Linked DNA regions of Alligator mississippiensis. The protein of the gene in region 2 purifies or fractionates together with the protein of the main gene of each other region. This does not show direct contact. Links are inferred from orthologs where the notes say so. Each region holds a gene or a part of one and is shown on either strand. Other genes may lie near its edges.

The links. The genes of interacting proteins can lie anywhere in the genome.
Region 1: the proteins of FBXL5 (region 2) and CIAO2B purify together in Homo sapiens (affinity purification with mass spectrometry; 3 studies listed by BioGRID and IntAct, counting the BioPlex papers as one, with this or other methods). This does not show direct contact. The link is inferred for Alligator mississippiensis from reciprocal best matches to the Homo sapiens genes FBXL5 and CIAO2B.

What each region holds. Positions count from the first base shown.
Region 1 is NC_081833.1:62,366,464-62,374,078, forward strand, and holds the start of CIAO2B (cytosolic iron-sulfur assembly component 2B), read left to right. Parts: upstream 1-3,908; 5' UTR 3,909-3,962; coding exon 3,963-4,098; intron 4,099-4,185; coding exon 4,186-4,265; intron 4,266-4,983; coding exon 4,984-5,109; intron 5,110-6,064; coding exon 6,065-6,110; intron 6,111-6,638; coding exon 6,639-6,736; 3' UTR 6,737-6,769; intron 6,770-7,615. Other genes in the region: CES2 (cocaine esterase), read right to left, coding at 3,728-3,779.
Region 2 is NC_081825.1:32,953,115-32,961,816, reverse strand, and holds the start of FBXL5 (F-box/LRR-repeat protein 5), read left to right. Parts: upstream 1-4,919; 5' UTR 4,920-4,984; coding exon 4,985-5,068; intron 5,069-8,702.

The DNA of each region.
Region 1 (7,615 bases), on a different chromosome or scaffold from region 2:
ACTTCACTAAGCACACTGCAAGGGAACCGGGGATAGATCACAAGACTTCCTACAAGTTCCAAAAAGCACAGTGTGGAAAAGTGTGGCAGTTATGACATGAAACCACCAACACCCACCCCCCACCAACAACATGAAGTGGGGAAGGGCAGATCACATGACATGCTCACGGAAAACTGCACTGAGCACATAGATACCTACCAACAGTGACAATGCACATTCAGAAAGCACCTTGTGTATTTAAGTGTCATACAACAAAAGAAAGGGGTAAGCGTCCATGAATGGATTTCTCTAAATATTGTGAAATTATTACAAAAGCTTAAAACTATTACTTTGTTTATATATTTAGCCTCAGTCTTGAAAAAGGGCATGGACTTACTGGGACTTTGCACCTCTGGGAATCAAGGTGAACAATGCTAACTCGGTACAGAAACTGCCTGCTCTAAATTTCTCATGGCCCTTTAAGACTCCTGTTTCTCAGAGCACCATATGCCTATCTTTGGCCCTTGGCAAATGTTACACTTAAGATGCATTCAACCAGTTAATTATTAAAAGTGTAAACTGGCTACATGTTCAGAAGGGTAATGGCACAAAAAAAAACCAGCCACAAAATTAGTACACAGTAAAAGAATAACAACTTTGTGGCTGGTTTTCATGATGTCTTAAAATGAACATGTGGCTGAGTGGACTGCACCAGGGTCTCCAACTAGCTCCATATGGTCCCTCTGGGCCAGCTGATTGTCTGCTGGTTCTAGGATGGCACCAGGGTTCAAACCCCAGTACAGCCCTAATGCTGCTGACAATCAGCTGCTCAGTGGCAGGATCAGGACTGGGGCCGCTTGGTGCAGCCCTGATACTGCCAACCATCAGCCAATAGTTGTCTGGCAGGGATCACACTAAGGTTCAAGCCTGGTATGGCTTTAATCCATCTGAGAATTATCTGATTGTCAACTGCTCCAGGGATTGTAGCAAGGCTCAAATTGGGCCCCAAAGCCAGCCAGGCACCCTTGCAATGCAGGGGGAGCCTGGGCTCAGGATCCTGGACTCCCCCTGCACTGGCAAGTAGGGTGTGATTGGGATATGATCCCCAATCCCAAATTCATCCCTCTGAAGGAGGCGTAACTGTTGGGATTGGGGATCAGATCCTATTGTCCTTTTAAGGGAATGTATGTCAGCAGCCTCAACCTCTCTGAAGCCAGGAGAAGCGAGGCAGTTTCGAGCTGCGTTAGAAGCCTGGCCACTGACAGCATTAGTCAGTCTCAAGAATTAAGGTTAGAGGGGGACAAGTACTTTACCAAGTAGACAGTGGAATCAAAGCATTCCTATTTACGTAGGCATCTGATTCACTCAGCTGATATACAGAGAAATGGTGTTTGTAAGCAAAAGGAAAAAAAAAACAGATCAGTGTTAGTGTTGTGCTATGTATTTAAGTAATTTATACATTTACTCAGCATGTGTAAGAAGTGGAGTATACAGAAAGAAAATGTTCATAAAAATACACTTCAGAATTCTTTTGCAGCAAGGCATAGTTTTTTGAAATGTGCTTAACTTTTTAAAAACACATTGAGTATGGATATGTACATTTTCCCACACTTCCATTAGATCCTCTAGTTCAAATCCATTGTCTCTCTTTTTTTTTTCTTTTTTTTTTTTTTACAAAGAGGCTTATGGTGTCATTGCAAGTAGACAGAATCCAGTCAAGACCACCAGGTGATTGCATTTGCCACAAGTGTTCATGGTCCAGGAAATATGCAAGAAACAAGGGGTTTCTGTTGGTAATACTGTAGGGGCAATTGCCACCACTATACTTTAGAATGAACTCCTACAGAAACGTGGTAAAGGATAGAAACACCTAGTCAACAGGAGAGAACAGTTCCCAAAGAACTATCCCTCTATTGTGGTTTCCTCAGTCCTTGTACTAGAGGGAATCTACAAAATACCTTTAGAAAACAGGTCTGGGAACAAAAATTCTAAGCTGTTCTGACCCCTAAAAATTATGGACTAAGCAATAAATAAATAAATAAATAAATAAATAAGGCTTATTACAATTTACCTGCTCTCTGTTTCTTTCCTTTTGAACGATTTTCTTTTCCAAAATTAGGTTATGTAGTTCAATTGTGCGTCACTGGTTTTCTAGATATTTCTGATACCTTCTTTACTCTGGCTTTTGCAAACCTCTTCCACTTCCACCCCCAGCTTATGACCTCTCACCACTTCTTTAAGCGGCTGTTTTCACAGACATGCTGAAGTTAATGTTTTATCTCCTGTCTAGCACAGGCTATTGGGGTGTCTTTCCTAGTAGTAAAGAAGGGTACTTAGTAAACTGTTCAGTTGGTATAATAAAAGGTGTTACTAAAAACCCCCCTTGCTTCTCATATAACGCAAAGAAACGTTTCTTTACGTATCCAACTTTCCAACTAAAGCTTTAGTGCCTAGTCACACAACATGCTGTTTGCCCACATAAAGAGAGAGATTCAGTATCTCAGAAGAGATCCTAAGAAATCCAAATTAGGAGGCAGATTAAAAAGCCTAAGAAATAAAATTAGTTGGAAGAAAGTCTAAAATATTATTTCTACTACAGCCATGTCATAATTATGCTTAAAAAGGACATCTATCCATTTTTTATACTATTACTATGTTGCACTGTACTTTCTAGGTTACTGACTGGCCTCAATATCACTAAAACAACAAGTGCGTACACACATCGCAGGATCTGGCTTTAGTCTCAGGCAACAGATCTGCAACGTACACAGTTTTACCCCACAACCATGAAATGTTCTGAGGACGCTCCATTCAGTTTAATACTCGCTAGGAACCAAAAGGGACATCAACTCACTGGATAAGATTTTTTTTTTTTAAAAAGTGCAAGATAAAAAGTCTGCCATGCAGCAAGTCAAAGACTGCCCGTTACACACCAAGCGCCGAGCATGAAAAGGAGTTATAATTACGGAGGTTTATGACACACAGGTTACAAAAGACCGGGCAAAGTTTGCAGAGAGAAGAGAGAAACAAATTATACAACAAGCCACGCTCATGAACTGGGTTCAAGAAGAAAGGAACTGAAGGGGCAGAGGCTGGTTCGGAGATCCTTTGCAGCTGAATGAAAACACAACTGAATGGTTAAATCGAGTTGGGGCGACAAAGAGCCGTCCACACCACCAGTGCCTCGTGCCCCCGCTTTCAGACACAAACCGTTACCCCCCGTTTCTCCCACCCACGTTTCTGAGAAAGCTCCGGGGACCTCACACGATCATCCCCAAGACTGAGAAGATGCTGGTGCCCCCATTACTGCCCCATCCCCGCGCGCTCTCATACGAGGGGGCCGGCAGCGCGGGCAGGCGGGCTCCCCCGCACCAAACAAGACTCCCCTCCGTCCCACAACACCCGCTGTGTTGCAGGACCAGGACCCCGGCTCCGGGCACCTCAAAGCCCGGCCACGTGGGGAAGACCCTCGTGTGAAACAACGCACATCTGCCAGGTGCTACAACCCCCAGCGCACACCCACACGTGCGTGCACACCCCCATGTGCACACAGACACATACACGTACACGCACATGTGCACAGACATGTACATCCCCCCACACATGCACCCCCCCATATGCATACCCCCATGTGCATCCACACACGTGCGCAGACATGCACACCTCCATGTGCATACATACATATGCATATACATATGCGCATGCGCGCGCGCGCACACACTCTCTCACTCCCCCCCGCAGCCGTTACCCGAGGCCGCAGCGAGGCCGGCAGCGCAGAGCAGAGCCCCGAGCAGCCACATCCCGCTTCTGCCCCGGCCTCGCCCCGGGCCTCGCTCTGCGCCTCGCAGGCCCCGCCCCCGCTCTAGCCCCGCCCCCGCCGCGGCTGCCAAGGCGACGCGGGCCCCGAGCGGGCCGGAAGCGGTTATGCGCGGCCCCTCCCCTTCTGCCCGGCCCCCGGAAGTGGCGGGCGGGCGGCGGCGACCATGGTGGGGCATGGGCCGGGGCCGGCGCTGGAGAACGCCAACCCGCTCGTGTTCCGGCGCTCGGGCGAGCGGCCCGTGACGGCGCGGGAGGAGGACGATGACCTGCCCGACGCCATCGATGACCGCGAGATCTTCGATATCCTGCCGGGCCGGACGGGGGGCGGGGGCGGGGGCTGGGGGCGGGGCGGGGCGCCGCTACACCGCGTTTTCCTTGACCTGCTACATCTCATCCGCTCCATCAACGACCCCGAGCACCCGCTCACGCTGGAGGAGCTCAACGTGGTGGAGCAGGTGCGGGTGAAGGTGAGCGCGGCCCGCACGTGCTTCCTGCCGCCGGGATTTTGGGGGCTTGTATGTCCTGGCCGGGCGCGCAAGTCCGGGCCTGGGGGCACGTGCCCCCCCGAATCGTGCGCGGGGCGGCTGCCGCTATGCGCTGTGCTTTGAGGCCCGCTGCCCCGAGAGCTGCGCAGTGCCACACGCACCCGGCTAGGTGCACTAGGTTGAAGCACTAGGATAATCGTGATGGGGGGGCAGCAGGGCAGGCCCTACGAGGAGAGGCTACGGGACCTGAACCTGTTCAGCCTCTGCAAGAGAAGGCTGAGAGGGGATCTAGTTGCTGTCTATAAACTTACTGGGGGGAGGACTAGAGGGGAATGGGTGAGACCCTGTTCCTCCAAGCACCTCCCGGAGTAACAAGGAATAACGGCCACAAGTTGTTGGAGAGTAGGTTCAGACTAAACATCAGGAGGCGCTGCTTCACTGTCAGAGCGGCCAGGATCTGGAACCAGCTTCCAAGGGAAGTGGTGCTGGCTCCTACCCTGGGGGTCTTTAAAAGGAGGCTTGATAACAACCTAGCTGGGGTCATATGAGCCCAGTATTCATTCCTGCCCAGGGCAGGGGGTCGGACTTGATGATCTGCTCAGGTCCCTATGACCCTACGTCTATAAATCTAAATTGCTAGTCTCAACTAGTGGAAAAGTCAGTACATTTTGTACATAGCAAATAATTTGTTTTTCAACAGGTGAATGATGCTGAAAGCACAGTTGCAGTGGAGTTTACTCCCACAATTCCTCACTGTAGTATGGCAACATTAATTGGCTTGTCAATAAAAGTAAAGTTGATCAGATCGCTACCTGAAAGGTTTAAGGTGAGTAATAACAGCAGCCTTGACAGGAGAAGGAAGAACATTAAAGAAAAGAAACTCTTTAAGGCTTCTCATTCCCTTTTGCTATGAAACAAGGAAAATACTCCAGGAAACTGATTAAATTACAAGCAGGCACAGTTATCAGTCTGATTCTTAGAATAAATTAGACTGAATGGGATCTGTGGTGAGAAATAGTATATAACATTTAGTGTTAGTGATCCTTGGTGGAAGGGAGATTATCCTCTTTTTGTAAAAGGGTAGTCTGAGGGTAAGGAAGAAAGTTTTCTACCATGACCAGTCCAAAAGGGGAGTTTACAACCAAAGTAGGATTAAAATATAGGAGTTTCCAATTAATGGTTTTAGGATCAGATGGCTGCACCATATCCCTATCCTAATGAAAGCTTATGCTGCTTTGAATATTGTGGAGGAGGGTCTGGCAGGAGATGGTAACTTGCCAAGGACTATGTTTTCTTGTTTCATTATGAAATTGTTTTGGTGGAGTATTAATGAGATGTCTCTGGACTAATACAGGGGAAAATAGTTTGACAAAACTACTTTAAGTAGCACAGCTAGAATTTATTTTTAAACATTTTTAAAGACTTTCTTCCCATTGTCTTCCCAACTTATTATAATATTTGAAACAAAGAAGAAACTGACCGGGAGAGGGAGAGGGACCATGGAACTTACCAAAGCCTAAGTATTGTCAGATTTGAAAAGTAAACTCTTAAATTGCTTTAATACATGTAGTTGCATGTGATACCAGCGAGTGTGTAGGCATGAGTGTGAAGCTGACAAACAACCCTGATGGGTTTTTTTGAGTGGGACTATAATACTAGATGCTGCTTTCTGAACTGCTGAACTAAAGCGTTTTTACTTTGACCTCACTTCACATCTGAGCACCAACCTAGTGCAAGTTAACAGTCTTATAAATAACTGGATTACATTTCATTTTACCTAGGTTGATGTTCACATAACGCCGGGAACGCACATCTCTGAGCATGCAGGTGAGCTTTTCCCCAGTGCTAAGATATATAAAAAGTGTTCTGCAAAGGTATTTCATTGTTTATAAACCTTGGAAATTAGAGAGATTAGATCTGAAGGTCACTGAGTGCAAGAGAGCAAACTAGAAGTCAGGGAAGAGTGTTACAGGATTCCACAACCCTCAGCCCAGAATCCATTAAATTCAGCAAAATGGATTGGGATGGTAGCTGAGGAGATTCAGCAAGAAACAAAGGGGTTGACATTTAGATTCTGGTCCCACAATGTGTTTCAGGCAGTTAAACCTACACAAAGCTATAGTGGATGAACTAGGGTTGTGTGTGGCACTGAGGTCCAATCATCTTGGAAAAAAGTGATGCTTAACTGCTAAGCACAATTCTGCACGCATTCAGCACTACCAAATTGTGAAAAACATGGGGCCCTGCCTACCGTAGCAACAGCCTGAGGAAGAGTCAGCTTGTATGTAAAACACTAACAATAGGTTGCCGTGCTGAGGTACCCTGACCAAGTGTTGTGGGACTCTTTCCTTACAGTAAACAAACAGCTTGCTGACAAAGAGCGAGTAGCTGCCGCTTTGGAGAATTCTCATTTGTTGGAAGTGGTGAACCAGTGTTTATCTGCTCGATCTTAACTGCCTGATAAGAAGCTCTGCTTTTCTGATATGGTGGGCTAACTTTGTAAATAAACAGTGCTGCTAGTATTTAGTTGGATATGTATCTATAAGCAAAATAAAGCTATTCTAATTTTGATTTTTATATAAGTGTTCTAGTACTCTTCCAAGAGTTAACCTATGGAAATTAACTTAAGAGTGATAGATAGCGTGTCCAAAATACTGTTAATGTAATATTACAGTTTTATTTTGTCAGAAGAGGATTTTAATATTTATAATATTTAATTCAGGAACAGCAACACAAATGTTTCCCCTCACAGTACAAAACAAATCATAAAATAAAGACAAATTTCCACATACCTTGGCCACGGCCCTCACTGTCTTAAACCAAGAATTATTTATATTCTGGATTTGGGAATGTATTGTGCACACTGAGTAATGGTTTTGGTCTCTGTGTTCTTGGCACATGAAGACAGGCATTTTCACTTGTTGTTTTGCTCATATTAAACTTCAGAAGTGGAGTTTTTTTACAGTTCACATTTGCAGACAAATTTGCAGGGTTTTGGGATGCTCATACAGCAATAAACATGCACTTTAAAAAAACTAGCCTATTTTCTTAAAGTAATTTTATATGCATGGTTTTATGGAGCTCTCCTGTAGTTGGTACATCTAATTTGTCATAAAATGTTAATCTGAATTACTTGGATTTTGTTGACAAAAAAGCCTGAGTGACAAACTTACAAAATGCTTCCTGTTTTGAAGCCTGATGCTGATGTGCTATCAGAAACGAAATAGCAAGTGATCTGAAGAGGCTCTGCATTCATTACAACTCAAGGAAGGGACAAATGTGCCTTCAAGCCAGTTCTGGTTCGACTTTGCTGCAACATCTTACTCTCTACC
Region 2 (8,702 bases):
TGACAGAGCTCAGCCAGGCAATCTGCTATGCCTTCATTGGCCTTTTGGTCCCATTTAAAAAAAAAAAATGAAATCTCTGCAGGGTAACGGATGGCCTTGGGCAAAAATGTGCCTTTAGTAGAGCAATTACTTCAGCATAATACTTAGTGTTTAATAAGGCAGGCACTGTGAGGGAATGGACAATGGCAAATGTTTTGGCACCACAGACTGTCAGGAGGATTGCGCGCTTCTGTTCTGGGTTTTCCACTTCATTGGCTTCCAGGTAATAGGATAGCCTTTCCACATAAGAGTCCCAAGAAGCGTGCTGGCTCACATCAAATTCTTCTATATGCCCCAGTGTAGCCATCCTAACTAACATCAGCCGTAATAGAGAGAAAAGAAGAAGAAGAAAAAAAATTCCCTCTGATCACAAAACACAGCCTGGTCTCAGAATGTCATTCCACAATCTAGGGGTGTGTTTTCAGCAAAGGATCCCATCCTTGTCGCCAGAAGATATGTTGTGAGTTCATCAACAACACTCTGGACGCTCCTGGGTTGGACTAACAGTTATTCATTATTATAATTCTCTGGAATCATATCCAGGGTGGATCTTAACAATTGCCTTCAGTAGATGTATGCAGAACTTATACTTGCTCTGCCTCTGACTTGACCCAGTCCAGCCCTGTGGAGGGAGAGAAAACAAGAATGCCCCTGGCTTCTCATGGCAGAGACAATGGAGTCCCCAGTGCTGCAAGAACTGGGGAAAACAAAGGAAACAACCCTGCAGTGCTGAACATGAGGGCTTTGGCCTTCAAGGGGCAGTAAAAGTGTAGCAGAAAGCCCCCTTTTCCTCTTGCCTGCATTTGCCCTCCCCACTTTGGATATGTTTCTCTTTTTCTACCTTTTCTTCCTTCCTCTCTCTTTCACTTTAAGATAAGGAATTGTGTTTTAAAATTTGTGTGTGTGCATTTTGTATCTCCCCTTGTAGTTTGGTATTTTTATCTATTTGTGTGCCATGGCATTTGTAGCTTATATTTTATACTCCTCACCTTTCAACTTTCAACTAAATGTGTTTTAGTAAGTTATACATTGTAACAATGTTAACAAGGGTAGGAATCAAACTGCTCTTCCTTGTATCAGGCTGGCCCCTGAAAGAGCAGTGAATCAGTGATTGAATGTGTAACATGATTGAATGTGTAACATGGAAGCAGGCAGCAATTAACACCTGGAAGCTGCAGATCAACCAAGGGAAGAACTCAATAGAAGACAATGTAACAACCGGGAACTCTCCCTGGCCTGAGTTAATCAATGCCAGAGACAAACTTTTGGGCTGAATATCTCCACATCGACCACTCCCAGAGCCCTATTCAAAATTCATCAACGGACTCCCAAACCTGCATGTACATGCAGACGACCCCTGGGGCTGACAGATGCCATCCAGTAGCCACCGAGGGGGGGGAAGTCCCACGAGGGTCAACAACCCCTGGATTGGGCAAACCTGAAAACTGGGGAGTCACCAAAGTCTGCCAGGGACAGATAAAAGGCAGTGAAAAGTGACCCTCAGTGGCGCCCTCTTGATCTCCAACTCGACCAGACCTGTCCAGCCAGAAGGACCAGCCGGCAACCCCCTTCTGCAAGATAACACCACACTGAAAGAAGCCTCAACGACAGACTCCAGCGCTTGTAGGATAGGTATACCTGACTCTGTAGCCTGCTACTGTGTGTGTGTATGTGTGCATGTGTGTATGTGGGGACCAGCCCCAAGGTTTATGTTTACAGTGTTTCAATCCGCCTAATAAACTAGAATTTTAAGGATCCTGAGTTGGACATTTGTAGCCAACACAAGGAAAACACAATAAGACACAATACTTAGGTTGAAATCTCTTTCTATCAAGGCACCTTGTAAAGGACAGTTTCCTATCTGTGTAACTTATGTTCATGTGAAAACTTGCACTTGCCTATACTACAAAGCATGTTGTTTATCAATCCCAAATGTTACTAAATGATCTGGATCATTCTGCAGAATGAATCTGCCCTGACTGTTTACCCCCCCCCCCCCCCAAATTTGGGTTTTTTTGTTAACATTACCTGTGATTATTTTTTTTATTTTCCTCTAAGTCATTGATGTGCGGGCCGGGAGCGGTCCGAGGCCCTCGGGGGCACGTGGTGGGCTGTGGCCAGCAGCCCTGGCACACGGGTCGGGGAATGCAGGCCAGCGGACTAGAATTAGGCATGGACGCTTAGCGGTTGATTAAAGATTATTTTACTTACACTGTAGATGGTCGCGGTGCAGGCAGGAAAACTTGCTTGAGTTGCAGTTACAGACAGGAAAGAAGAAAAGCGGACAAGAGTTCCTTCCATGCGAACTCTAGCCCAATCCGGTTGAAGGCTCTAAAAACGCAAGCCCATCGTGTCAACCGAAGAAAACAACTCGGAGAAGAGCTCTGGATACACTCACATGAAGTTTGCTAGGCTCCGTGGAACTTGCGCGCAGGGAAGGGGTTCATCGAGGGATCGTTTGGTGACGGGGAGAGGCCAGAGGTTGATCAGACCCCTATAGCCTTCTTAAGGCACGCGCTGGGTTCGATAGGTTCCGCAGCGCTTAGAGTTCTTCACAAGATGTGAAGCCCTCCTCCTCCAGATGGTTGTGGAGTCCTCCCTTGCGGGGCTGTCCTCGGAGTTCTCCAACTTGGGCGGAAACCGCTCAAGCCTCTTATACGGCTAGCAAGCCAATCGCTAGCCGCCACGTGGGAATAATTTAGAACTGGCCAATAGTGGGACACAAATTTGCATGCAGGTGGTGGGAACTCCTTTGCACTGTGCATTTCTATTTGCAACTGAGAAATGCACCCTGCAAAGAAAGCTCCGAGTGGCAGGAAATAATTTAGCAGTGCCGAAGCGCACACAAACAAAATCACACCCTTGGGTTGTGACAATTGATATGTTAAATAGCATTGGGATAAGAACAAATGCTTGTGGCCTCCTATTTAAAATACTTAAATTAGATGGTGATTCCCCATTTACAATTACCTTTTGAGGCTTCTTGGTTTAGACCTAAGGTGTCATACCTGTGGCCCATAGGCTGGGTCCTGCTCACAGAGCTCATGCGATCCATAGGTCTCCTAGTGAGGCTGGGAATTTGGGGACTGGGTTGGCAGGCATGGGGCCCATCATTGAGATCTGGGATAGGGGACTCCATACAGGATGTGTATTGGCCAAAGTGGCAAGTGATGGCAGCATTAACCCCTACCCTCTCTGATGCCGCTAGTCCCACTCCCACCACCACCTGGCCCAACCCCCAAGGATCCCTTGTAACCCTAATTTGGTCCAGAGAGCTGGGTGAATTTGATACCCTTAGTGTAGCTAATATATGCTAACACTGATTCTTCAGTCAGAATATTGTGCTATACAAAGGTGGGTATCTTACAGATGTTTGTATTGACCCTATTGCCTGCCTTGACCAATTTAGAAACTCCCCCAAGTTTGCTCATTTGATTTTGAAACTTGTGTAGGGGTCAGGAAGAAATTTTACCCTATGGTCAGACTGGCACAGACTGTAGAGGGTTTTACCTTCTTCTTTAGCAGGGGGCATGGCCCCTCTATCTGAGATCTTGGGTGTATGTATATGAACAACGTGTTACAGAAGCAGGACACTGGCTGCCGTGGCCCCCTTACTTTACTTGGGGCAAGGCTGGGTGTTAGGTCTTGTATTGTGTCAGGACTGACAGTAGTTTTACTAAGAGTTTAGATTACTGATTTGTAGAGGATGTTTTGGATAAGGGTAATTCTGCCTCAAGCAGGGGCCTGGATTAGATGTGACTTGTCTGCCATGGGCCCCCTACTTTACCTGTGGCAAGGCCAGGTGTTAGGTTTTGTGTTGTGTCAGGATTGACAGTAGTTTTACAAAGAGTTTAGATTTTGGATTTGTAAAGGATGATTTGGAAGGGGGTGGGAGCGTCCTGCCTCAGGCGGGGACTGGATTTGATGTGACCTCTGCAGGTCCCTTCCAGCATGATTTCTCTCTGATTTTATGAAACAGTGAAGGGTGAGGTGGTGAAATCAAGGGTGGGGCTCAGCTTTCCTGGCCCTTTCCTGTCTGGCAGTAACACCAAGGAAAAGCTGTGGGTACTAGGGTGGCAGTGACCCCCTCCCTGACTCTGGGCTTCACATCTGATCCTCTAACACCCACCTTTGTCATTTACCTTTGGAAAGGTGAAGCAAAGGGCATCTCTCTCCAGAGTACCTGCCTACGGGCGTGGGGGTCTCCAGAGGGAGCTCTGCCAGCTGCAGGGACACGGGGCTGGGACTACAGGGGCAGCCTGGGCTGCTAGCGCCTGGCAAGGCGAGGCAGCTGTCCCATGCCCCAGGCGCCGCATGTCCAGACCCCTTGCAGGACAGGGCATGCAGCAGGTCATACCACTGAGCACAGTTGCCAGGTGTACAAATAATTATGTCTGTACAATAACTTCAGCCCTTGAACAATCAATAACAGTAAAAGTGTTCAAAATGTATGATAATAGTTGAGGCAGATAATTGACGCAGCATCTGCAAAACCCAAGTCACTCTCAGAGCGTCTTAACCAACTTTTGAGCTTGCTGTCAGCCTCAAAACAAATGTTTCAGCTTGGATGCCCCATTTCCCACTCACTGGGAGGGGCAGTGAGCAATAGCAAGTAAATAAGAGTTATTTGCAGAGTTATTTGCATATTTTTCCAGCAAACACATAATTTCGAGCTTCCAAGGCGATCATTTCATCTGGAAGCCCTGCCAACGCTGCCACCAACCACCACTCCGTCCCAGTCCCGCACGCGCGGGACAGAGTGACGCGTCTGCGCCTGCGCACCCAGGCAGCAGCGGCGGCGGCGGCGGCCGCTCAGGTGCCCCCAGTCACGTGACATGGGGCGATGGCGGCTCTCGCGACGCCCTCAGCGAGGCTGGGCGCATGCGCAGAACCGTTGCCGCCCCTGCCGCCGCCGCTGGCCTCGGCGGGGCTCTATGGGGAAAACATGGCTCCTTTCCCCGAGGAGGTGGATGTTTTCACGGCCCCGCACTGGCGGATGAAGCAGCTGGTCGGCCTCTACTGCGATAAGGTACCGCGTGCGCGCCGGGAGCTGCCGCCCTGCCCCGGCCTGGGCGGGCCAGCGGGACGATTTACCGAGTGCGCAGCTGTCAGCGCTTCCCCCTTCACCTCGTGGGCTCGTCCCCCCCCTGCTCCCAGCGGTGGGCTCGTCCCCCCCCTTCTACCTGCGGCAGACGCGCGTCCCCGCCCCACACCCCGGGGGCGCAGGCCCCGCCCCTCCGTGGGGGGCGGGGGTGGGCGGGCGTGGGCAGCGCCCCGCACCTGGAAACCCCCGAGTGGGGCCTGGCTGCCAGGGGCGCCTCATTCCTCTGAGCAGCGTGGCCAGGTCTTCAATAGGACATTATGCTCCTGGAAGCTCAACATGATCGTGTTTGCTAAAAAACTATTGCCCAGTGGAAAAATAGGCAAATACGTCTGCAAAGAAGCAGCCGCCTTATTTCCTTGACACCTGACTGTCAGCCATCGCGGAGTGATGGAGACCTGGGTGCTCAGAGTTGAAGCATTTCTTTATTTTGAGGCAGGCAGTGATGAGAGAGTGCTGGCAGCAAACCTGAAAGTCAAGTTAGGACTGACTCCCTGAGAGCAGCTTGGTCTTTACAGGTGCTGCATCAATGAGCTGCTTCAAAAATCATGCTATGCTTTGAAGGGTGTCCAGGTTGTAGCGGTATTGGTCTAGAGGAAAAAGCAATCGGGGCTCGTGGACAGAAGTGATATCTTTGATTAGACAAACAAGGTTTTCTCAGCAAAATTTCTTTAATTGCAAGCGTTCAGGCACAAACACCCTTCATCAGGCATCAGAGAAAAGACTGTAAAAGTTCTCCTGGATAGAAATGGAAGTTCATATTTCAGAGGATTTCATGGAGGCGTCCGTAGTACATTTTGAATGATTTTGCTCTTATTGATCATACGTTATGCTAAGGTTGAAGTTATTGTACAGATATGATACTTACTATATACTTGGCAACACTGCCTCCAAGGGGCAGGGACTTCCTCAGGCCTCTTGACTGCTGTTTGGGCATGTGGGCCGGAGCCCACCCAGCAGAGCTGTGGGCCCCCTTGAGGATGGGGCCGCTAAGGTCTTATCACTCATTTTTTGGGGACAACTCAAAGACAAAACAGGTGGGAGTGAGGATCCTGGGGTCGGAACAAGTGCACCAAGGCGAGCACCGAGCAGAGCATGCCGAACACCACCCGCTGGCCCACAGATGAGTCCACCAAGCCAATGGATGCTCTCCTATGAAACTGCCTTGAGACGGGAATGGACCAGGGATAGGAAAGCAGACCTAAACCTTTTTTTCTGGTTAGATATATTTATAGCTTGGTTGGGGCCAGGGGGAGGTTGACCAGGTCTTTTTGTCACCTTCAGTCACATGGACCTAGGCCCACCAAGTCCCACTTGCCACAGGTGATATCTTTTATTGGCCTCCCTTGGATGGATAAGCTACAGGAAAGGTGAAATTTGATTCCTTGGGACAAAACTAATGAAAAAAGGGACAGGAGTGGAGGTCAAAAGTTCAAAACAATGCCAAGGGAGGCACTGAGCAGAGCACACGGGACAGCACCCACTGGCCCTCAGATGAGTCAAAGGAGCCAACGGAGGCTGCCCAGCGATACTCTGCTCAGAGACAGGAACGAAGTAGGGCAAGGAGAGTGGCTCAGCAGTCCCTGGGGATCCTCCCGGCCAAAGCCTTCCTGGTCAGATACATGGCCAGCTTGGTCAGGGCCAGGAGGAGGTTGACCAGGAGGTCCTGGGACTTGATGGGGCCATGGACAGGGAGTCTCTAAATGAAAGGTGCGGAGAGTAGTGCAGCCAGAGCCTCAGCAGGAGGGGGTGACCAGTGTTTCTTTAGGTGGCCTGTGTTCCTGGGCCCCCTGTGTATTTGGGGCATGCTGATCCTAACCAACCTAGCCATCTACATGACCAGGAAGGAGGCTGTGGCTGGGAAGACCCCTGAGAGCTATGGGGCTCTTTTCCTGATCTCTGGGCTCGTGTCACTGGGCAGCATCTGTTGGCTCCTTGGACTTGTTTGAGGGCCAGTGGACGCTGTCTAGTGGCTCTGCTTGGTGTTCCTGCTTGGCACACTAGTTATTAACCTGTGACCTCCACTCCTGTCCTTGTTTTCATCATTATTTGTCCCAGGTATTCAGTAACACATCATTAGTGGTTTCTAGTGCTAAAGGGGGCTGATAGTTTCCTTGGTGGGCCTGAGCCTGTGACTCTTCTTGACATGTTAAAATTCCTGTATATTTGGGACTTGCTGATCCTAGCCAAGTTAGCCATCTACTTGACCAGGAAGGAGGCTCTGGCTGGGAGGCCCCTGGGGGCTGCGGGGCTGTTTACCTGATCTCTGGGCTTAATTTCACTGGGTAGCATCCACTGGCTCCTTGGACTTGTTCGAGGGCCAGTGGGAGCTGTCAGCTCTATTTGGTGTCTCTCCTTGGAGCATTTGTTTTAAACCTGTGACCTCACTCCCTTTAGTTGTCCCCCAAACTCAGTTGATGCATACCTAATAGATGTCTGTAATAACGGAGGGGGCTAATTGTTGCTGTCTGGCTTTAAGACCCAAGTTCCCCTTATGCATCATATAGGCCTGTGTAGTTGGGATAAAATGAGACCAGCTTTCAACTGCAATATGTTCTTCCTCAGGTCTGTCTGGCATCTGGGAGCTGGTCTCACTGTCCCAACCACAAAATTTCTGCTGGTCTCACTGTCCCAACCATTGGTCTCACTGTCCCAACCACAAAAGTCCCATAAAAGAGATCAGCCTAAGAAATCCTAATTGTTCACATAATTTCTAGACCATCACAGCTACAGCATTGCTTTTACACTGTTGTTTACTTTTATCTCATCCAAAGATTTGGCCTAATCATTTGGGATGTGTTAAAGTAGATATTGAGCTGGTTGGATAGGAATATTGGGGGAGGGGTCATTTTAATACTGACAGAACTCTGTTATAGTTTGTGCATTTACTTTCTCATTTTCAAACAATAAACTCTTTCGCTAATGCATATGAAGTGGAAATTTGTATCCAAGCATTAGAAGAAATAGCAGGTGTGTAGGATTGTATCGCTTTTCCTGCTATAGGTCTATTTACGTCCTTTGTACTTGAGGTCAGTTTTATTAGCTATGTAGCAGAAAAGTTTCTAGCTTCTCTGAAGTGTCTTGAGTTTTGTCCTTGAGTGATCTCAGTTCTTAATTAGATCAGGTTGGGTTTCCATTTATGCTGCAACCATAATCAGCCAAATCCAAATTCAAAGCTACCTTTAATTACCTTTTTTACATTTAGGTAAGAATTCTTGTGGGTGATATCTTTTTATTGAACCAACTATATGTTTGGTATAGACATAGACCTGTGTCTGTACTAGTGGTTCTTAACTTTTTTAGACTCAAGGCACCCCTAGGAAAATGCCAGCTTTCAGTTTTCACCCTTTTTTGATTATAGAAAAATAAGAGCATTTTTTTCTGTTGCAAAGAACTCACAAAGACCACAGCTATGGATTTCTAGTTGAAATCTCTGGGTTTATCTTGACTCATGTTTGTAAACCTAACCGTACTAAAATTGCTTGGCACCCCACATCACCTTAGAAAGGATCTTAAGGCACCCCGGTTGAGAATTACTGGTCTATACCAACAATAGGCCTGT